Linked DNA regions of Arabidopsis thaliana. The protein of the gene in region 1 interacts with the protein of each later gene in a pairwise test. Each region holds a gene or a part of one and is shown in the gene's direction. Other genes may lie near its edges.

What was found.
Region 2: the proteins of ETG1 (region 1) and MCM5 interact in binary tests that used the Arabidopsis thaliana proteins (3 or more experiments, as listed by UniProt).

The regions. Positions count from the first base shown.
Region 1 is NC_003071.7:16,931,891-16,940,844, forward strand, and holds ETG1 (E2F target protein 1 (ETG1)), read left to right. Parts: upstream 1-2,730; 5' UTR 2,731-3,036; coding exon 3,037-3,204; intron 3,205-3,452; coding exon 3,453-3,566; intron 3,567-3,654; coding exon 3,655-3,762; intron 3,763-3,850; coding exon 3,851-3,982; intron 3,983-4,086; coding exon 4,087-4,128; intron 4,129-4,314; coding exon 4,315-4,416; intron 4,417-4,517; coding exon 4,518-4,754; intron 4,755-4,844; coding exon 4,845-4,961; intron 4,962-5,051; coding exon 5,052-5,254; intron 5,255-5,343; coding exon 5,344-5,479; intron 5,480-5,547; coding exon 5,548-5,775; intron 5,776-5,885; coding exon 5,886-5,953; intron 5,954-6,028; coding exon 6,029-6,143; 3' UTR 6,144-6,382; downstream 6,383-8,954. Other genes in the region: KT2 (potassium transporter 2), read left to right, coding at 4-249, 341-394, 480-740, 821-873, 957-1,074, 1,177-1,431, 1,509-2,626; AT2G40560 (Protein kinase superfamily protein), read right to left, coding at 6,815-7,726. UniProt on the Arabidopsis thaliana protein: Associated component of the MCM complex that acts as a regulator of DNA replication. Binds to the MCM complex during late S phase and may act by promoting the disassembly of the MCM complex from chromatin. Required for sister chromatid cohesion.
Region 2 is NC_003071.7:3,521,316-3,530,916, reverse strand, and holds MCM5 (Minichromosome maintenance (MCM2/3/5) family protein), read left to right. Parts: upstream 1-3,416; 5' UTR 3,417-3,528; coding exon 3,529-3,798; intron 3,799-3,866; coding exon 3,867-4,010; intron 4,011-4,087; coding exon 4,088-4,267; intron 4,268-4,346; coding exon 4,347-4,445; intron 4,446-4,516; coding exon 4,517-4,653; intron 4,654-4,752; coding exon 4,753-4,858; intron 4,859-5,152; coding exon 5,153-5,287; intron 5,288-5,374; coding exon 5,375-5,452; intron 5,453-5,658; coding exon 5,659-5,763; intron 5,764-5,854; coding exon 5,855-5,946; intron 5,947-6,031; coding exon 6,032-6,164; intron 6,165-6,267; coding exon 6,268-6,363; intron 6,364-6,512; coding exon 6,513-6,604; intron 6,605-6,694; coding exon 6,695-6,785; intron 6,786-6,867; coding exon 6,868-6,977; intron 6,978-7,061; coding exon 7,062-7,191; intron 7,192-7,270; coding exon 7,271-7,372; intron 7,373-7,454; coding exon 7,455-7,538; 3' UTR 7,539-7,933; downstream 7,934-9,601. Other genes in the region: ABCC13 (multidrug resistance-associated protein 11), read right to left, coding at 8,426-8,861, 8,943-9,130, 9,304-9,465. UniProt on the Arabidopsis thaliana protein: Probable component of the MCM2-7 complex (MCM complex) that may function as a DNA helicase and which is essential to undergo a single round of replication initiation and elongation per cell cycle in eukaryotic cells.

The DNA.
Region 1 (8,954 bases):
CAGGTGGAACTTTTGCTTTGTACTCATTGATCTGCCGTCATGTCAAAGTTAGCCTCCTCCCAAACCGACAAGTCTCTGATGAGGCACTGTCCACTTATAAGCTGGAGCATCCACCGGAGAAGAACCATGACTCGTGTGTGAAAAGATATCTGGAGAAACACAAGTGGTTACACACTGCTTTGCTGCTTCTTGTTCTTCTTGGGACTTGTATGGTTATTGGAGATGGACTTCTCACTCCAGCTATCTCCGGTATGTATGCTTCTGTGTTTGTAGACAGATATTCCAGTGTCCAATTGCTAGTTAAAAGAGTTTTCTAATCTTTTCTTTTTCTTGTATGTAGTTTTCTCTGCTGTGTCAGGTCTTGAGCTGAATATGTCTAAAGAACATCACCAATGTAAGTACACAAAGACTGGGTAGTGTTAGTTTTTGCTACTTGAGTTCTGATGAATGATGGCTTCCTTTGTTGTTCAAACGTGCAGATGCAGTAATTCCTATTACCTGCTTCATACTAGTCTGCCTTTTCTCGCTTCAGCATTTTGGGACACATCGTGTTGGGTTTGTTTTCGCGCCTATTGTCCTCACTTGGCTGCTCTGTATAAGTGGTATTGGCTTGTACAATATAATACAGTGGAATCCTCATATATACAAAGCTCTTTCTCCTACATACATGTTCATGTTCTTGAGAAAGACGAGAGTAAGCGGATGGATGTCTCTAGGCGGGATCTTGTTGTGCATAACTGGTGAGATATATAAGAAATCGATATTGTTAATGTCGCCATAAATAATGTCAGTAATCTAACTCGTTGAGTCTTTGTTTTAGGTGCTGAGGCCATGTTTGCTGATCTTGGTCACTTCAATTACGCAGCAATTCAGGTTAGTTTCTACTTTAGCTTGGATGATTTACTTATTGTTATATCGCCACAGGTTTCAATAAATCTTTGTTTTGTTTGCTGTAGATTGCGTTTACCTTCCTGGTTTATCCGGCTCTTATATTGGCATACATGGGGCAAGCTGCTTACTTATCCCGGCATCACCATTCTGCTCATGCAATTGGGTTTTACGTCTCTGTACCAAGTCAGTAATTTGCCTTACTTCAAGAACTCAATTTTTTTTTGGTGTTGATCATTGAAAACGTAATCTGATCTTTTGTTTATATAACTCCATGGTTTTGAACAGAATGTTTGCACTGGCCTGTGCTTGCTGTAGCAATTCTTGCTTCTGTTGTGGGAAGCCAAGCGATCATCAGTGGGACTTTCTCAATCATAAACCAGAGCCAGTCTCTCGGATGCTTCCCTCGAGTCAAAGTCATTCACACGTCCGATAAGATGCATGGTCAGATTTACATACCGGAGATTAACTGGATGCTCATGATTCTCTGCATCGCTGTTACTATCGGGTTTAGAGATGTCAAACACCTGGGAAATGCATCAGGTATGAGATTCTTTTATCAACTCAAGAATTTTGGATTCTTCGACTTTGAGATTATATTCCTTTGTGGTTGGTTGCAGGTTTGGCTGTAATGGCGGTTATGCTAGTGACAACATGTCTTACCTCATTAGTCATTGTTCTTTGCTGGCACAAGCCTCCAATTCTAGCGCTAGCGTTCCTTCTCTTTTTCGGTTCAATAGAACTTCTCTACTTCTCGGCCTCACTCACCAAATTTCGTGAAGGCGCTTGGCTTCCGATCCTCTTATCTCTAATATTCATGATCATCATGTTCGTTTGGCACTACACCACCATTAAGAAATACGAGTTTGATCTCCAGAATAAAGTCTCGCTTGAATGGCTTCTTGCATTGGGTCCAAGCCTCGGAATTTCTCGAGTTCCAGGTATCGGTTTAGTCTTCACGGATTTAACCTCTGGAATCCCCGCCAATTTCTCCCGGTTCGTCACCAACCTCCCTGCCTTCCACCGTGTTCTTGTCTTTGTCTGCGTGAAATCTGTCCCTGTCCCGTTCGTTCCACCTGCTGAGAGATACCTCGTGGGTCGTGTTGGTCCCGTTGACCACCGCTCTTACAGATGCATCGTTCGGTATGGATACCGTGACGTCCATCAAGACGTGGACTCATTCGAAACAGAGCTCGTAAGCAAGCTGGCGGATTTCATCCGTTACGATTGGCACAAAAGAACACAACAAGAAGACGACAACGCTCGTTCTGTCCAGTCCAACGAATCCTCAAGCGAGTCAAGACTAGCCGTGATCGGAACAGTAGCTTACGAGATCGAAGACAATCTCCAACCAGAGAGTGTCTCCATCGGATTCTCCACAGTCGAAAGCATGGAAGACGTCATACAAATGGCCGAACCAGCCCCAACCGCCACCATAAGACGGGTGAGGTTTGCGGTTGAGGAAAACAGTTACGAGGACGAAGGATCAACATCGTCAGCAGAAGCAGATGCGGAACTGAGAAGCGAGCTGAGGGATTTGCTGGCAGCGCAAGAAGCAGGAACTGCGTTTATATTGGGACATTCACATGTGAAAGCGAAACAAGGATCATCGGTGATGAAGAGATTAGCAGTTAATTTCGGTTATAATTTCTTGAGAAGGAACTGTAGAGGACCTGACGTGGCTCTTAAGGTTCCACCTGTTTCTCTTTTAGAAGTCGGCATGGTTTATGTTGTTTGACTTATGAAAAAACTAAATATATGAAAACCTAATTCCTCTGTTGTAAATTCGTCATGTTTAGCTTCATAGATCTCTGTTTCTGTGTTTGTGAGTCTGGGGTTTGACTTTTAACAAATCTTAAGACCAAGATGGTCAGAGGATCATATATGCCAAATGAATTAGTTTATTATACACATGAAACGACATCGTATGGAGAGGGGTCCAAAACGGTGCGTTGGAAGTTGGAGAATGGGCATGGATAATGGCGGGAATAACCTAGGAGATATGGCGGGAAAGGCCCAACTATACACACTTGACATTGCCCTTAATTCGTGTTTGAGCAAAGACTCAATCTTTCATCTCTAGATTCTTGGCGATTCTCGCTACATAGTACTTTGGTAAAGAGTGAAATCAAAGGTTGGTTTTGAGATATGGGAGGACCAGCTTACGATTGTCTGACCAACCCTTTAGGAGCCGTCCGATTCTCCTTCGTAAATGCTCTGTCTTCAGGCTACGATCCGGCTTCGTCTGTCGGAAAAGACTGGGGTGTCGTTGATTTGTTCCGTCACTACTTCTCCGACGAATCTGCTATCTCCCAGGTTTGCCCTAAAACCTTTACTCTGTTTCTATTTTTTTTTGGGTTTAGGGCAATTGAGTATGTTTTGATTAATTACTACCCAATTAGCATAATAGGTTGATTTTTTCGTGTACTTTGGCTCTGTTTCTAAGTAAATCAGCTTACTTTAGGTTTTAGTCTATCCATAGATTGGTTAATTTGGGTTTTTTCAAGGATCTGTTTTGAGATATTTTTCTTAATTAACCGATAGTGTTTTCTTTTGTCTACTAGGTTCCAATTCTTGATTCGTCAAGTATTAAGTGGGTGCAACCCAAGACTCTTGTTCGGTTTCGTGGAATGATACAGGACATGCTTGGGAATGAATTCTATGCTGGTGCTTACAAGGTAGGAATATGACTTTTGATGGTTTCTACTAAAGAAGAATTCAATCTTTATCTATCAGTAACTGTTTCTGTTTTTACGTTCTGTTTAGGATGATTCAACATGGAGAACAAACAAGTACAGTGATGTTTCACAGTTTCCTGAGGGTTCTTCCACTGAAATTCAAGTTTGGGAGCGTCGCTTGCTTTACTGTGTTCCAGTATGTTTTGTCTCATGCGGATCTTTCTTTTTTGTTGTTGGTCTCTCATATATGTTTAAACATAATAACACTTGATTGCAATGTTTAGGTTCCGGGAAAAAACCAGTGGACTGAATGTTCTTCACAAGAGCTAAAAAACCGGTTTTTGGATCTAACTGGCCAAAACAGGGAAAAGCGTGTGAGGGTGGATGAAGAAATGACTGATTCCATGGACTCCAGTGTAAGCAACTTAGGTTCTCATGTTTGCTTTATATGAAACTGATTTTGTTGTAGCAACATCTATTGGTGTTGTTTGTCAATAACTTATTTTAGCCACCATTGCAGACTTTAGAAGCTGGGCGTAATGGTTCTCCTTTTAAGAAAATGGTAAGGATCTCTAGTCTCTTAAGTCTTTCTTCAAAGTCTTTATGAGTCTAACACTATAAGCTACAAAGTTGTGGAAAAAACCATATATTATAAACTTTTCTTTACTGTTACTGGGAAGAATCATGAGACATTGAGATTTTGGCTGATGAAGAATTTCTGATTAATACTGTTTTTTATGTTCATCAGAAAGTGGGGGAAGCTACTTCATCAGCTTCAGAATCTCAGGTTCCACAAACTTCTGGTATTCCGCCTGCTACAAGTGCAGATTCTCTGCCTTGTCTTGTCAAGGTAAATATATGTTTACATTGTTCTTTATATTACCTGTTAACATGTGTATACAAAAGCAGCAAAGACTAGTCTGTTGACAAGATTCTTATGCGGCCACGCAGATCTATGATTCTCCAGAGTCAGATTTGAAGCTAAATGATGTGGTTGAATTTCTTGGAGTGTTGACCTTCGATCCAATTGTTATGATGGATACAGATACACTTGATGAAAACTCTGATGCTCTTTCTGAAGCTGAATCTGTTCAGATGCCCTCTGGAAAGGTCCCACGCCTCCATTGTCTTATCCATAGAAAGCTTGAAACACAGCATTTCCTGCATGGTTCTTCGTTATTACCAGAGGCAAGTATCATCGATTTAGAAAATATACCTCTCATACCTATTCGTGTTTTGAAATTTGTTTTAAATCTCTTGTTACTTTCCATTTAGCAGCCAAAATCCCCCCAAATATTCAAAGAGATAAGAGAGAGTTTGATGAAGTACCTTACCGGTCTACTTGGGAATGATCACATTGCCGCACAGTTCCTATTATTGCATCTCCTGTCAAAGGTAATTAGTTGAAAAAGGATCACTTGTTTTTATTCTCAGCTATTACTGCTACGGCCTTCTATATTCATATGTTTTTTTTCTCCTTTACAGGTGCATGGAAGAGTAGATAATGTTGCTGTTGGGAAGCTTTCTCTTAATCTCATACACCTTAATAAAGAAAGCATGTCTATCTTCGGTACCCAGCTCAGTGGTGCCCTCAAAAGCCTCCTACCGTTCACACAATCTATACCACTTACTATTGAGTATCTGAACACTGCCTCGTTCGGTCCCAAGAAAGACTATGGAATCAACAGGTAAGAATCCAGTTCTACGAAATCTTAACAATGGTTTTGAATCATTCTTCTCTTGAAAGACCTGCAATTATATTGTTTTTATGACTCAGATTGATGCCTGGAGTTCTACAAATTGCTGATGGTACGCACTTGATATTGGATGAAACAGAGTTGCAACCAGGCACCTTGAACTCTGTTGGAGTTGAGAATGCAAATCTGCTTAAAAACCTCTTGGAATGTCAGAAGGTAGGGCAACGTCATTATTCACTTTTAATCAGATTCAAATATGAATATGGAATCTGCTGCTATTTCAGGTTGAGTATGATTTCCAATATTACAAAATGGAAATGGCCACTGATGTTCAAATGCTCATATTCTCCGAGGGAAAGTCGAACATAATGCCCGCCGATTTGGTTCTACCTCTTCAACCTTCTCAAGTGAATTCATTGGAAGTCATCACACCAGAAACAGCTGAAACTTGGAGGTGCTACTTAGCTACTTGCAAATCATTATCACACTCCATTGGGCAAGAGTTGCAACAGGTATGTATATATCTATTGCATTAATGTTAGAATCTGCCAATCTGGTACTTCTAAAGAAATCCATTGTTTTCAGACTTTTGACTAATATTTTCTGCAAATTTTTGTTGCAGGTGGTGGAGAATGATTTGGTTGCAGCTAGACAAACAGATCGTAGTTTAGGCAGCCAAGACTTGAGCAGGTACAAAAGCCCTCCTTAGGGTTTATCCTTGTCAAATATGTGCAAAACTTACAATTATGTTGTTTGGTTCCACAGATTGTTGACAATGGCTCGTATGATGTCTGTGAGTTATGGTGAGACTACGCTTTCACTAGAGCACTGGCAAATGGTGTTGGAACTAGAAAGACTTAGAAAGGAGAGGCTCAAGTAAAACCACCGTAACGAACAAGATGTATTATGGTTTCGAGACTATTTGGATATTGTAATTTTCACTAAGTTATCTGAGTAAGAAGAACCATATCGTTTCATTTCCTATCTATTTATTAAGGTTCAACTTTTGAGCTATTGACTGGTAATGGAAAATGTTTGAGAAAGAAGAAAACTTGGAGACTTCAAACCCATTCCGGTTAATTTTCATCGTTGATCTGACATGGTAAATACTGAATAAAGCACATGCACACTGTGACACCTCTACTTTAAAAAGTACCAAATAGATAAACTGACTAGAAGATTATTTTCTTGTGATGCAAGTAAGAAACAAACTCAACCAATCGACCTTACTAAAGTATACTCTTCTATAAAATAAAGAAATTTCTTCTCCCCCGTATGTAAATTGAAATCACCAGATGGAAGTCTTGGTATAGAGATATATCGATCTGATAATCTTATCACGGAAGAAGACTTTGGTCTCGATTGCATATCTCTCACGTACGACTCTCGTTTGTATGAATAGAAAGAACAAAGACACACACAATTTAACGAGTTCCCAAGGTCAAACCGATCCTTGGTACATCTCGGCTAGGCTTTGCCATAGCAAATTCACTATCCAGTTTTTTTTTTCTTTTTTTTATACATATGTACACAAGAGAGATAGAGAGAGGATTAGGTCAAAAGAAGCTTCGAGAAACTTGGAATCAACGACCTAGATATCTCCTTGTTGTCTTCTGTTGTTGGCGATGGAAGTCCTTGTGTAATAAAAGGATGTTTCAAGAGCTCAGTCGCGGTGGGCCTGCGTGAACGCATGTCATCGCATCGCCTTAAGAAATCTTGAGCCTGCGGAGAGATAACGTCACGCAAATGCCATACGTAAAATTCGTCAAAGTACTCCTGGATAGGTATAGCTCCAAACATCTCATTAACCACACACCCTAGAGAATATATATCAAGGGCTGGATCGATATGTCCCGGATCGATCAGTCCGTTTGGTACAAAAGAGTCCGGGGGCATGTACTCAACAGTACCAAGGGACGTAGGATCATGATCGGTGTCAGGCTCTTTGGATGAACCGAAATCAGCAAGCTTGAGATCCCACGGCTCTCCAGGAGTTGTGGAAGGGAAGAGGAGAACGTTGGATGGCTTGAGGTCGCAGTAAACGTAACCATGGGAGTGAAGAGCCTCGAGTCCTTCTAGGATCATACGAGCCGTGCGACTGACCAAAGACTCAGGTATCGGCTCTTCTTTCCGACGGAAACCATATATAAACCTATGGAGATTACCTTTGGAGGCGTACTCCATATAGATGTAGCAATATTCGTAGGGTTGGATTTGTAAGTGAAGCTTGTTTGAGGCTTGGACGATGCGAGGATGATCACGGAAACGATGCATGATCCTGAGCTCCTTCTCGAGAATCTTTTTGAGATGCATCGGCGATGACTTCTTTGCGTAAAGTCGGGAGTTGGAGTCCTTCTCGAGAGAGACGTAACCGAAGTTCCCTCGGCCAAGAGAAGAGAGCTTCGTCAACGAAGACTCGTCCACAATCCAATCATCATCTCTGCAAATTTGTTCCATCATCATAGTGAAGCTTTTACGTATTCGATTGTCTTTAGGTTTTCATCAGTCTCTCTATACCTATATATATATATTTTCTGTAGGTCGGTGCGTGGTTCGTTTTTTCAGTTGGAGCTAGGACAGATTTTCCTTTTCCAATTAAGAATCTGAAATATCGTATACACGCTTTAGTTAAACTATATCCTCAACTTATTTAATATTTATATTATTTAATGCTAAAAATGAAAATTTATTATAAATTACAAATTCTAAATGTTAAAAGATTTACACTATTATTTATTCAAAATGTGTATACAAGAAATATAACCAACCAATAAATATAGACAAATTAAAAGTAACATAATTTGTTAGCACAATAATATATGAATATTAAAAAGCACATATTGATCTTAAATATTCCTAAATATAAAAAGAAACTGAAATAAATAAACAAAACTTTCTATTAATTTTAATATTTTTTCATTTTATGATTAGTGATTTTTCGTATTATTTTAAATTTTACTTTTAGAAAGAAAAGTAATTGTAATCCTAGATTCATTGGAATCGAGTAGATTTTTTTAGTAAATACATCATCAATTATTGTTGATATATGATATATTTTCTATTCGAATATATTTTGAGTCAATAATATTAGTTGTTAAAACAATTATGCAAAAGTGAAGTAAAAAGATATATGTGTTTATATATATATGGGGTAGGAAAATAAAAACTTTCAACAATTAAATTCGATATATATGTTATTTTTTTCACTTGATATTACTTTTTTCCCATAAGACTAAAGGAAGACTGATAAATTGATTTCTTAAAATTTTATTTAAATGAAACCAAATAACCAATAATCCAATATTCACCAAATTAAGTTTCCTTTTTCGTATTATTTTAATTATGATAGCTTAATGATATCAATTGTTAATTTTTATTTAAATTTCCTATCAAACGGATAAAAGATTACGAAGTAGGATTATGTTAAAAGACAAATTGAAGATTATAATGGATTTTTAAAGGTTATAAGATTACTTTGTTAATATTTAAGATTTGGGGACAATTTGGAATATTTAGTATTTGTTTTAAGAAAATAAAAGATTTTGGCCAATTTTTCCTAATGTCAATTTAGTATTTTTGTACCGGCTAAATAATCTTTCGTGTAGACAAAAATCAACTCTGAATAAAATAATAATAAACCCACCAGCCGTTAAAAAAGGGTGAAAAACATAGTGGAGCCCTATCCTTCTCT
Region 2 (9,601 bases), about 13 Mb from region 1:
AAACAAATAGATAAATGCTTAAATCATATGATGTTTTACTATATCATCTGATGAATAGTGTTTCGGTCGCATGTGAGCAGTGTTATCGAGCGGTTTATGAACTGTGTCGCCACATATTACGTCAGAAAAAATTGGGCTTCTTTCATGATTGGGGCATTTTCCAAGTTTTTAGTGCATTTAGGGCACATTGAAGAGAATAGACACTTTTTTGGAGTTTTTTCACTATTTTAAAAAAATCAATACCAGTTTACCCCTTATTCTCTTCACCTTAAATCAAGTAGCATGGTTAAGAAATGGTTTTGACGGAATCATCTCGTCCATCGAATTGAAAGGTAAAGTTAATCTCTTTTAATCTTGACCGTCAAATTTAAATAAATAAAACATATTTTCTCTATCTATCACTTTCTTATCTTTCTTGTCAATTTCTTCTCTCTCTTCCTTTTGTTATTTAATTTTTATTTAATTTAAGACATTCTCTATTTGATTAAAAATCATTTTTTATAAAATATATAATAATAACATTTTTTCCTTCATGAAATCCATATTACTATATTTATTCATACTATTATTTATTGTATCATCAAAACATAAACAGATTCAGAAAACAAAAAATCCATATGATTTAATCCATTTGGACAACAATGAAATATATAATCTTTAATGAGAACCATATAACCATAAACTCTAAAATCATTATAAACAATCATAGTTCCTTAACACTAAATTCTAAACCCTAAACATTAGATATTAAACTCTATACATTAAACCCTAACTTCTATATCTAAACCCTAAACCCTAAACTTTAACCCATAAACACTAAGCCCTTAACCATATACGTATACCCTATACCATATACCATATACCATAAACCCTAAATCCCAAACCTTCTTAATGTTGCCCATAAATATTAAGCTTAAACCTCTTATCCCTAAACCCTAAACCCTAAACCCTAAACTTTAAACCCTAAACGCTAAACCCTAAACTCTAAACCTTAAACACCTAAACCATAAACCCTAAACTTTAAACCATAGACACTAAGCCCTTAACCATAGAAATATATCATATACCATTTACCATATAAACCCTAAATTTTAAACCTTCTTATTATTGCTTATAAATATTAAGCATAAATCCCCTAAACATAAACCAATTGAGAACATAAAAAATTCATATGATTTAATTCATATGATCAAAATGGAAATATATAATCTAACAAGAAGCATATAACCCTAAACCCAAAAATAATTGTATATGACCATGGTCAATTAACCCTAAACCTTATACCATCTACAATAAACTCTATAATCATTGTAAACAATCATAGTTCCTTAACACTAAATCTAAAACCCTAAACACTAGATACTAAACTCTAAACATTAAACCCTAACCCCTAAATTTATACCCGAAACCCTAAACCCTAAATCTTAAATCCTAAATCCTAAATCCTAAATCCTAAACCCTAAACCCCTAAACCCTAAACCCTAAACCCTAAACTCTAAACCCTTGATATTAAACCCTAAACCTGTTAAACCATAAAGACTAAACCCTTAACAATATACATATACCATATCACGTATACCCTAAACCCTAAACCCTAAATTCTAAGATCTTCACTTTAAAACTTCTTGTTGTTGTCCATAAATATTAAACATAAATCCCCTAAATATAAACAAATTGAGATAGAAAATCCATATTATCCAATCCATATGGACAACAATGGAATATATAATCTCCAATGAGAAACATGTAACCATAAACCCTAAATCATTGTAGACAACTTTGATTCTTCAACCCAAAACCCTAAATCATCTAAACTAAACGCGAAATCCTAAACAATAAAGCCTAAATCCTAAAATGTAAACACTAGATACTAAATCTTAAACCCTAGACATTAAACCCTAGCCCTTGACTTTAAAGCCTAAACCCTAAAACCTAAGTTTTATATGTACATAATCTATAACCACCACTTTTGATCCATGATAATCTAAAGCACGCTTCTTAACCTGAAAACGTAAAATATTATTGAGATCGATGTGTTCATACACAATCTTACGATATACACTCGTATTTATGTTTTGTTAATATGTAATCGTGGATAAATAAATATAAACATTTTCATAAATAAACTTTTGTTGATATGACCAACAAAACTTGTTTCATCACATTTTATCAACATCTTTTACATAACGTAACACTGGTTTTATGAATAGTATTAACAAAACACAATCATTTTGAATTATCGACCGTCAACACACATCCACCAAACTCTGACCATGTGGTCATTTCAAATTATCGCCTATCACTCTTCTTTGATTTGTTTTGTATTTTTTCCATTTTTTCATTATTTGCTCATGTGTTTTAATGAAAATAGCATCAAACTACCTTTAAGTTACAAATTTATAGTAAGAATATATGTTTGGGTTCTTTAATTCAACTCTCTCTCTCTCTTTGAGGAATTTCCACAAATATTTGGTGGCCAAATCTAAGATTTGTAAAAAGACAAAAATTTGACCAAGACAATGATGGATACACTAAGAGAAGAAGAAACCTAGCAATTAAAAATGAAAATTTTAACCTTATGAGGTTGATTAAAGAATGAGAAACTGAATAAAAATCTTGAAAATTTCCAACTTTTAAGATCTAAGAAGAGAAAGAAAAAAGAAAAATCTAGATCTACTTTTTGGTGTTTTTGATGAGAGAGAAGAGAGATAATGTCTCAAACCATTTCCTTTTTTCATTAAGATATTTTAAGTGTTTTGTGTGTTTAATTTTGTAAAGAGTAGAGAAAAAAATGAATGAAAAGAGAGAAAAAGTAATGGTTGTAAATTATGGTAAGTTTGGATTGCTTAGGTTGGGTTGATGGTGTAGTAGTAAAAAAACTTTAAAAAGTGTTTACTCTTTCTAAAGTGCTTTATTGCGTAATTGAGTTTCAAAAAAGTGTCCAATTACCTAATATTCTCAAAAACATTTATCATGTTAATGACATTTCTGTAATTAACGTAAATGAGAAGGATATATATGGTTGATTTTTCTTTTCTTTTTTATAGTTACTTAATTTTCAAATTATTAATGTTATAAAACTAAAAACTATTCTTTTAAACATATATATTAATATAGCCTTAAATTTTAAGTGACATTGAAGAAAATTACGATGGAATTGAAAATGCTTACAACGATATTAAGTAGCTTAAAAATATGAAATTCTAAAATGTGCAATTCATAAATTTAAGATTCCTAGATGTAGTCCATAATTATATTTTTATCTGTTTGGTTTTTTATAATAAATTAGAAAAAATGGATAAAAAATGTAACCTTAGCTAAAAAGAAAAAGAAAGAAAGACCCAATAACCAACGAAATCCATTTACCCGTCCATAGGTCTTGGGTTCGGCCCATCAGTTTCCCGCCACATTGTTCCCGCCAAAACTCATAGTCGACATAAAGCCCTTGCCCCCACTCTCTCTCTTCGTTTAGAACTTTTTGATAAGAGAGAAAGAGATAGAGAAATTCGTAACGGAGACGAAGCAACGATGTCAGGATGGGACGAAGGAGCAGTTTACTACAGCGACCAGCCGCAGTTCCCGGAGGCCGGAGACGCCGCAACCATCAGTCCCCACGCCGTCTTAACCAAATTTAAGGAATTCATTCGAAACTTCGAGATCGAACAGAATTGTTTCCCCTACAGAGAAGCTCTCCTCGATAACCCTAAGCGACTTGTTGTCCACCTCGAAGATCTCCTCTCCTTTGATTCCGATCTCCCCTCCTTAATCCGATCTGCTCCTGCCGATTATCTCCCTGTGGTATGACTTCAAAAAAAATTAGGGTTCATATAAGCTTTGTATTGAGTGAGTCAATCTTTGAATTGTAGTTTGAGAAAGCAGCTGGTGAAGTGTTGACTGGATTGAAAATGAGGGAGGCTAATGAGGGAGGGGTAATGGAGGAACCTCTGACTAGAGATGTGCAGATTTTGCTCACTTCAAGAGAGGATCCAGTATCAATGAGATTACTTGGGGTATGTCTGTTTTTTTGTTTTTAGTATCAATGAGATTACTTGGGGTATGTCTATAATGTACTCTTTACTCTTGATAGGCACAGTACATCTCAAAGTTGGTGAAAATCTCTGGGATTAGTATTGCAGCTTCGAGAGTGAAAGCAAAGGCGACTTATGTGTTTTTGGTATGTAAGAATTGTAAAAAGACAAGGGAAGTTCCATGTCGTCCGGGTCTTGGTGGGGCAATTGTTCCTCGATCATGTGATAATATTCCACAGGTGAGTTCTTTTGATTCGTTTGTGATTTGAGTTTGTAGTTATCCTTGGTGTTGATTAGACCAAATTGGAATTTGTTTAGCCTGGAGAGGAGCCTTGCCCTCTTGATCCTTGGATGGTGGTTCCTGATAGGAGCCAGTATGTTGATCAACAGACCTTAAAGCTACAGGAGAATCCGGAGGTATAGATTTACATTGTAATGTTTTCGCTTTTTTTGCACTTGTATATATTAAATGCTTCTGAGTTTTGAAGGATGTTCCTACTGGAGAGCTTCCAAGAAATATGCTTCTCTCAGTTGATCGGCATCTTGTACAAACAATTGTACCTGGAACCAGACTGACAGTAATGGGTATCTACAGCATTTTCCAAGCTTCGTCATCATCTAACTCGTAAGCTTTGTAGTTTTATGTCAAATGAGAGTGTAGATTGTTTTCTGGGAGAGTTACACCACAACAATGATGGACATCTTTTCCTACTTTCTGATGTAGGCATAAAGGAGCAGTTGCAATTCGCCAGCCTTATATCCGAGTTGTTGGACTGGAAGACACAAATGAGGCCAGTTCCCGTGGCCCTGCCAACTTCACTCCTGACGAAGTTAGTATCGCATCATTTGGTTCTTTTTGTTTTCTCATTTGATAGCCTATGTCATCCATGGTTTCACAATGAACTATTGAAGTTAACATGGCTGAATTATTGTTACTGGAAACCAAATGCCTTAGGTAGCTGTTGGCTCTATGAAATTCTTTGTGTAACTCCCAAATGAATGTGATGGTGTTTTCTGGAAATATTCTCTGTGCTACTAGTTTACTATGAAACATTTAGGCCTGCTTGGAAGCCTAGTTGTACAATTCCATTTATCAGTTTTGTCTTCCATAATATTACTTTTAGGAGGAAGAATTCAAAAAGTTTGCTGATAGTCAAGATGTATACAAGAACATTTGCACCAAGATCGCTCCTTCTATATTTGGCCATGAGGATGTGAAGAGAGCAGCTGCGTGTCTTCTCTTTGGAGGATCCAGGAAGGTAGGAAACTGTGATAGCAGTTTTTATTTTCTGTGCACTTTGTATACGTTTTTGATATATTTATATACATTTCTATCTTTGATTCAGAGCCTGCCCGATGGAGTGAAACTAAGAGGTGATATTAATGTTTTGCTTTTGGGAGACCCATCAACTGCAAAATCACAGGTTTGTAATGTGGTCTCAGTATCAATGGTTTATAATAAGTGTGTTATTCTTTTTATATTTTCTTACGTCTCTCTTATTTGCTTGATATTCGTCTTACATCCTTCTGTTCAAGTGTTAGATTACAATCCTTACAAAATGTCTGTGTTATTTCCAACACCTGTAGCTTACATGTTTAAAGCTTAATTGCTTATTTTTTTTCTCTCTAGTTTCTTAAGTTTGTGGAGAAGACGGCTCCAATTGCTGTTTATACATCTGGAAAGGGTTCATCGGCTGCTGGGCTCACAGCTTCGGTGATTCGAGATAGCAGCACTGTATGTCCTATCTTCAAGTGTTTTTCTATGATTTGTTTAAAAGTAGTTGCTATGACAGATTCTCAGTTATTTATACATATGTTCATTGCAGCGAGAGTTCTATCTTGAAGGTGGTGCTATGGTTTTGGCTGATGGAGGTGTTGTGTGTATTGATGAATTTGACAAGATGAGACCGGAAGATAGGTAATTCAAATCTGAATCATAGTGTTGACGAATCTAATTTTTCTCTATGAGTAGAATTGATGGAATGTTTTTTTTTTCTTTATAGGGTTGCTATTCATGAGGCAATGGAGCAGCAGACAATCTCCATTGCAAAAGCTGGGATAACAACTGTCCTTAATTCTAGAACCTCGGTGCTTGCTGCTGCTAACCCGCCATCTGGTCGATATGATGACCTTAAGGTTTGAAATCTGGTACTCTCCTTTGGCAATATCATGGTTTTCCCGATTCTTGTTTGCAATATTCTTAAGAGATGGGTGTGTTTTTTTTTCTTTGGATTTGCAGACTGCTCAGGACAATATCGATCTGCAGACAACAATTCTTTCTAGATTTGATCTTATCTTCATTGTCAAGGACATCAGGAAGTATTCCCAAGACAAGGTAAGCAAGGAAAGGAACAATTCTTTCAGAAATTTTATGTAGTTAAAAGGGAAAACAGAGATTAATGATGGAGGTCACTGTTATTGGAAAGTTTGCTTCGTTGCTTGCTTATTATGTAGACATGATTAATGTTTATAATCTTTTCACAGGAAATAGCCAGCCATATTATAAGGGTTCATGCATCTGCAAACAAATTTTCGGATGAAAACACAGATTCTAAAGAAGATAATTGGCTCAAAAGGTGTGTTTTCATTCGTCGAGAAAACAATGTGTTCTCGCAGTTTTCTGTACAAAATCATGACTCTAAAATATAATGCTCTTTTTATGTTAGGTATATACAATACTGTCGAGCAAGGTGTCATCCCCGTCTCTCAAAAGACGCTGCTGAGAACCTGCAGCGGAAATATGTCACAATCAGAATGGTAATTGTCATTTACATTAGATTTGACAATAAGATGGTTAAAAAACAAAGTTGGTGTCAGTATAAAATTTTCGGCTAAACAGGATATGAAGAGACGTGCACATGAAACAGGAGAGGCTGCTCCGATACCTATCACAGTGAGACAACTCGAAGCTATTGTCAGACTGAGTGAGTCACTTGCAAAAATGAGACTGTAAGTAATCTTATTAACATAGAGATTCCTGATTCCTGAAACCTGATGGGATGTGCCGTCCATTGACATTGTTAAATATGTCAGGTCACACGAGGCCACACCAGATGATGTAGACAAAGCTTTTAAACTTTTTGATACCTCGACAATGGATGCAGCAAGATCAGGGATAAATCAACAGATAAACATAACAGGCGAGATGGCCAATGAAATCAAGGTTAGTTGCTTGTGGGGAAGAAAGAATCATCGTATCTCTAGATGTAATAACTAAATTTGGTATTGGTGTGAAAAAACAGCAAGCGGAAACACAGATAAAGAGAAGAATGGGGATCGGAGCTCGATTATCAGAGAGAAGACTGATAGAGGATCTGGCTAGAATGGGAATGAACGATTCAATGGTACCTAAGCTAACATCTTTGTTGTTTAATTTTCAGTAATGTGAATGGGATTTTTGAGGTAATGTGCATGTTAAAATGGCAGGTGAGGAGAGCTTTGTTGATAATGCACCAGAGAGGTGAAGTTGAGTACCAGCGAGAGAGACGTTCTATTGTCCGCAAAGCTTGATCGTCTAGGCATGCAATCTCTCTTCTTTAGTAGCAGCGATGACCAAACAAAACAAAATATTTAATATTATCAAGTTAATTTGTAGGCAAAAAGTAGAAAGAGAAGCTTATGTCATGTGTATTTGATGAAGATTCTTAGTAAACTTTTACGCTTGCTTCAAACTAATGTATTCTCCACCTTTGTTGTCCTTAGTTAAAATGTCACGCCAATGTTAGGAAAGCGTTTGAAGATTGCTGAATGGTATAATCTAGTGCCGATAGTTAAAGTAAAGATGCAGATAGAATAGTTGATAAAGTAAAAGTGTAATCTGAACGTATATGTAAATTAAAATTTTCTTAATGTTGTTATTAGTAGAATGTTGTTACCTTGAAAAAAAAATGAAATAAATAACCATGGTTGAACTTGACTCAAAATGTTCTTCTTTTAAACTGGTTCGGGTTACAAAACTAGTATGTTGTTGAATTTTGAACTGGTTCTGAAGCTCCCGGAATCTCTCAATTTCATTTTGTTCTTGTGTTGTTGAGAGATAATTGCTTCTCTATTTAACATATTTTTGGCCAATTACTTTACTCTATCATGCATAGCTTGGGAAACTCATGGCTAAAGCTGTTTTAAGTTGCAATGAAGAATCAATTCCTTCTGAACTAACTTCTTGGAAGAAAAACAGACAATAAGAGTACCATTGTTTACTTCTCAGTTCTCAATCACCATCGAATTAGATAGATATTTATGAATTTGGATTAGGCAAGTCCATGAAGACTCATTTATTATGGAAAACTGAGCATATAAATGAGCTACTACAGTTGAAACTAGTTTTTCTTAATTTCCATGACAAGATAATTATAGCAGAGATCAGAAGTTACAAGTGATCAGATTCTAACAACATTTCACTGAGAAGCTCTGACAAAGCTTGAAAAAGTTGAGGAGTCATCTTGCAAAAGATGTTGTGGTTTTCCTTGTTCAACAAGAATTCCACGATCAAGAATTAGGATGCTGTCTAAATCAACAACCGTAGAAATGCGGTGAGCAATGGTAATGACGGTTACGCCTTTGCATTCACTCGATATCGTGTTGTGGAGTAGGGAAGCTGTGTGAACATCGATGTTGGCGGTGCATTCATCAAGGCATAGGATCTTAGATGACTTGAGCAAAGCACGAGCAAGGCACAAAAGCTGTCTCTGTCCAACAGAAAAGGAACAACCAGATTCCTTTACATATGAATCTAACCCTCCTACACTTTCTACCGCTGCCTTAACTTTACACTTGTCTAGGATCTCCCAGATTCTCCAATCCTCACTCAACCCAAGAGGATCAAGGTTATCCCTACGAGAACCACAACTTTTTTTCATTATGAAACTGCAGGCAACACCTTTGGTTAGTGAATTGAAGGAGTTAAGTTCTCACCTCAGTGATCCTTGAAACAGAAAAGGGCTCTGAGGAACAACAGCGAGGCAAGAACGGAGTTCTCTTATCGGAAGATGGCTTATGTTTTTTCCATCCACCAATATCTCTCCACTACAAACAGGAGTAAGCCGGAAAAGCGCATTCAAGATCGAGGACTTCCCGGCACCAGTTCTTCCAATTACTCCTACCTGATAAATGAAAACAAAACAATCATGAGACAGAAAAAGTCAATTCTGTTGTAGAGTGCTCTCTCTAGCGGATAGTCTCTTCCCGATAACTTCATATAAATTGTATATGTTGGGAGAAAAGATAAAAACAGAAAAAGTCAAGTCTGTTGTAGAGTGCTCGGCGATACACGTACATGCATTCCTCCTTGGATTGTAAAAGAAATTTGGGTGAGGGCCGGAGGCAGAGTTGAGATGTATCTCATTGTCACATTGTGAAACTCAACTAATCCGTGAACAGGCCACTTATCGCTGAGAGATTGAGGACCTGAAACTTCTTCTTGAGGCACATCCATGTACTAATAACACAGGAGAGCATGGTTCATGTAATTAGTAACACTAACATACAAAAATTACTTAATGAATCAGAATCATTATCTTTATCTTTGATTTCTCGTAGTGCGAATGTAGAAGTGGATAATTTGGCACGACGAA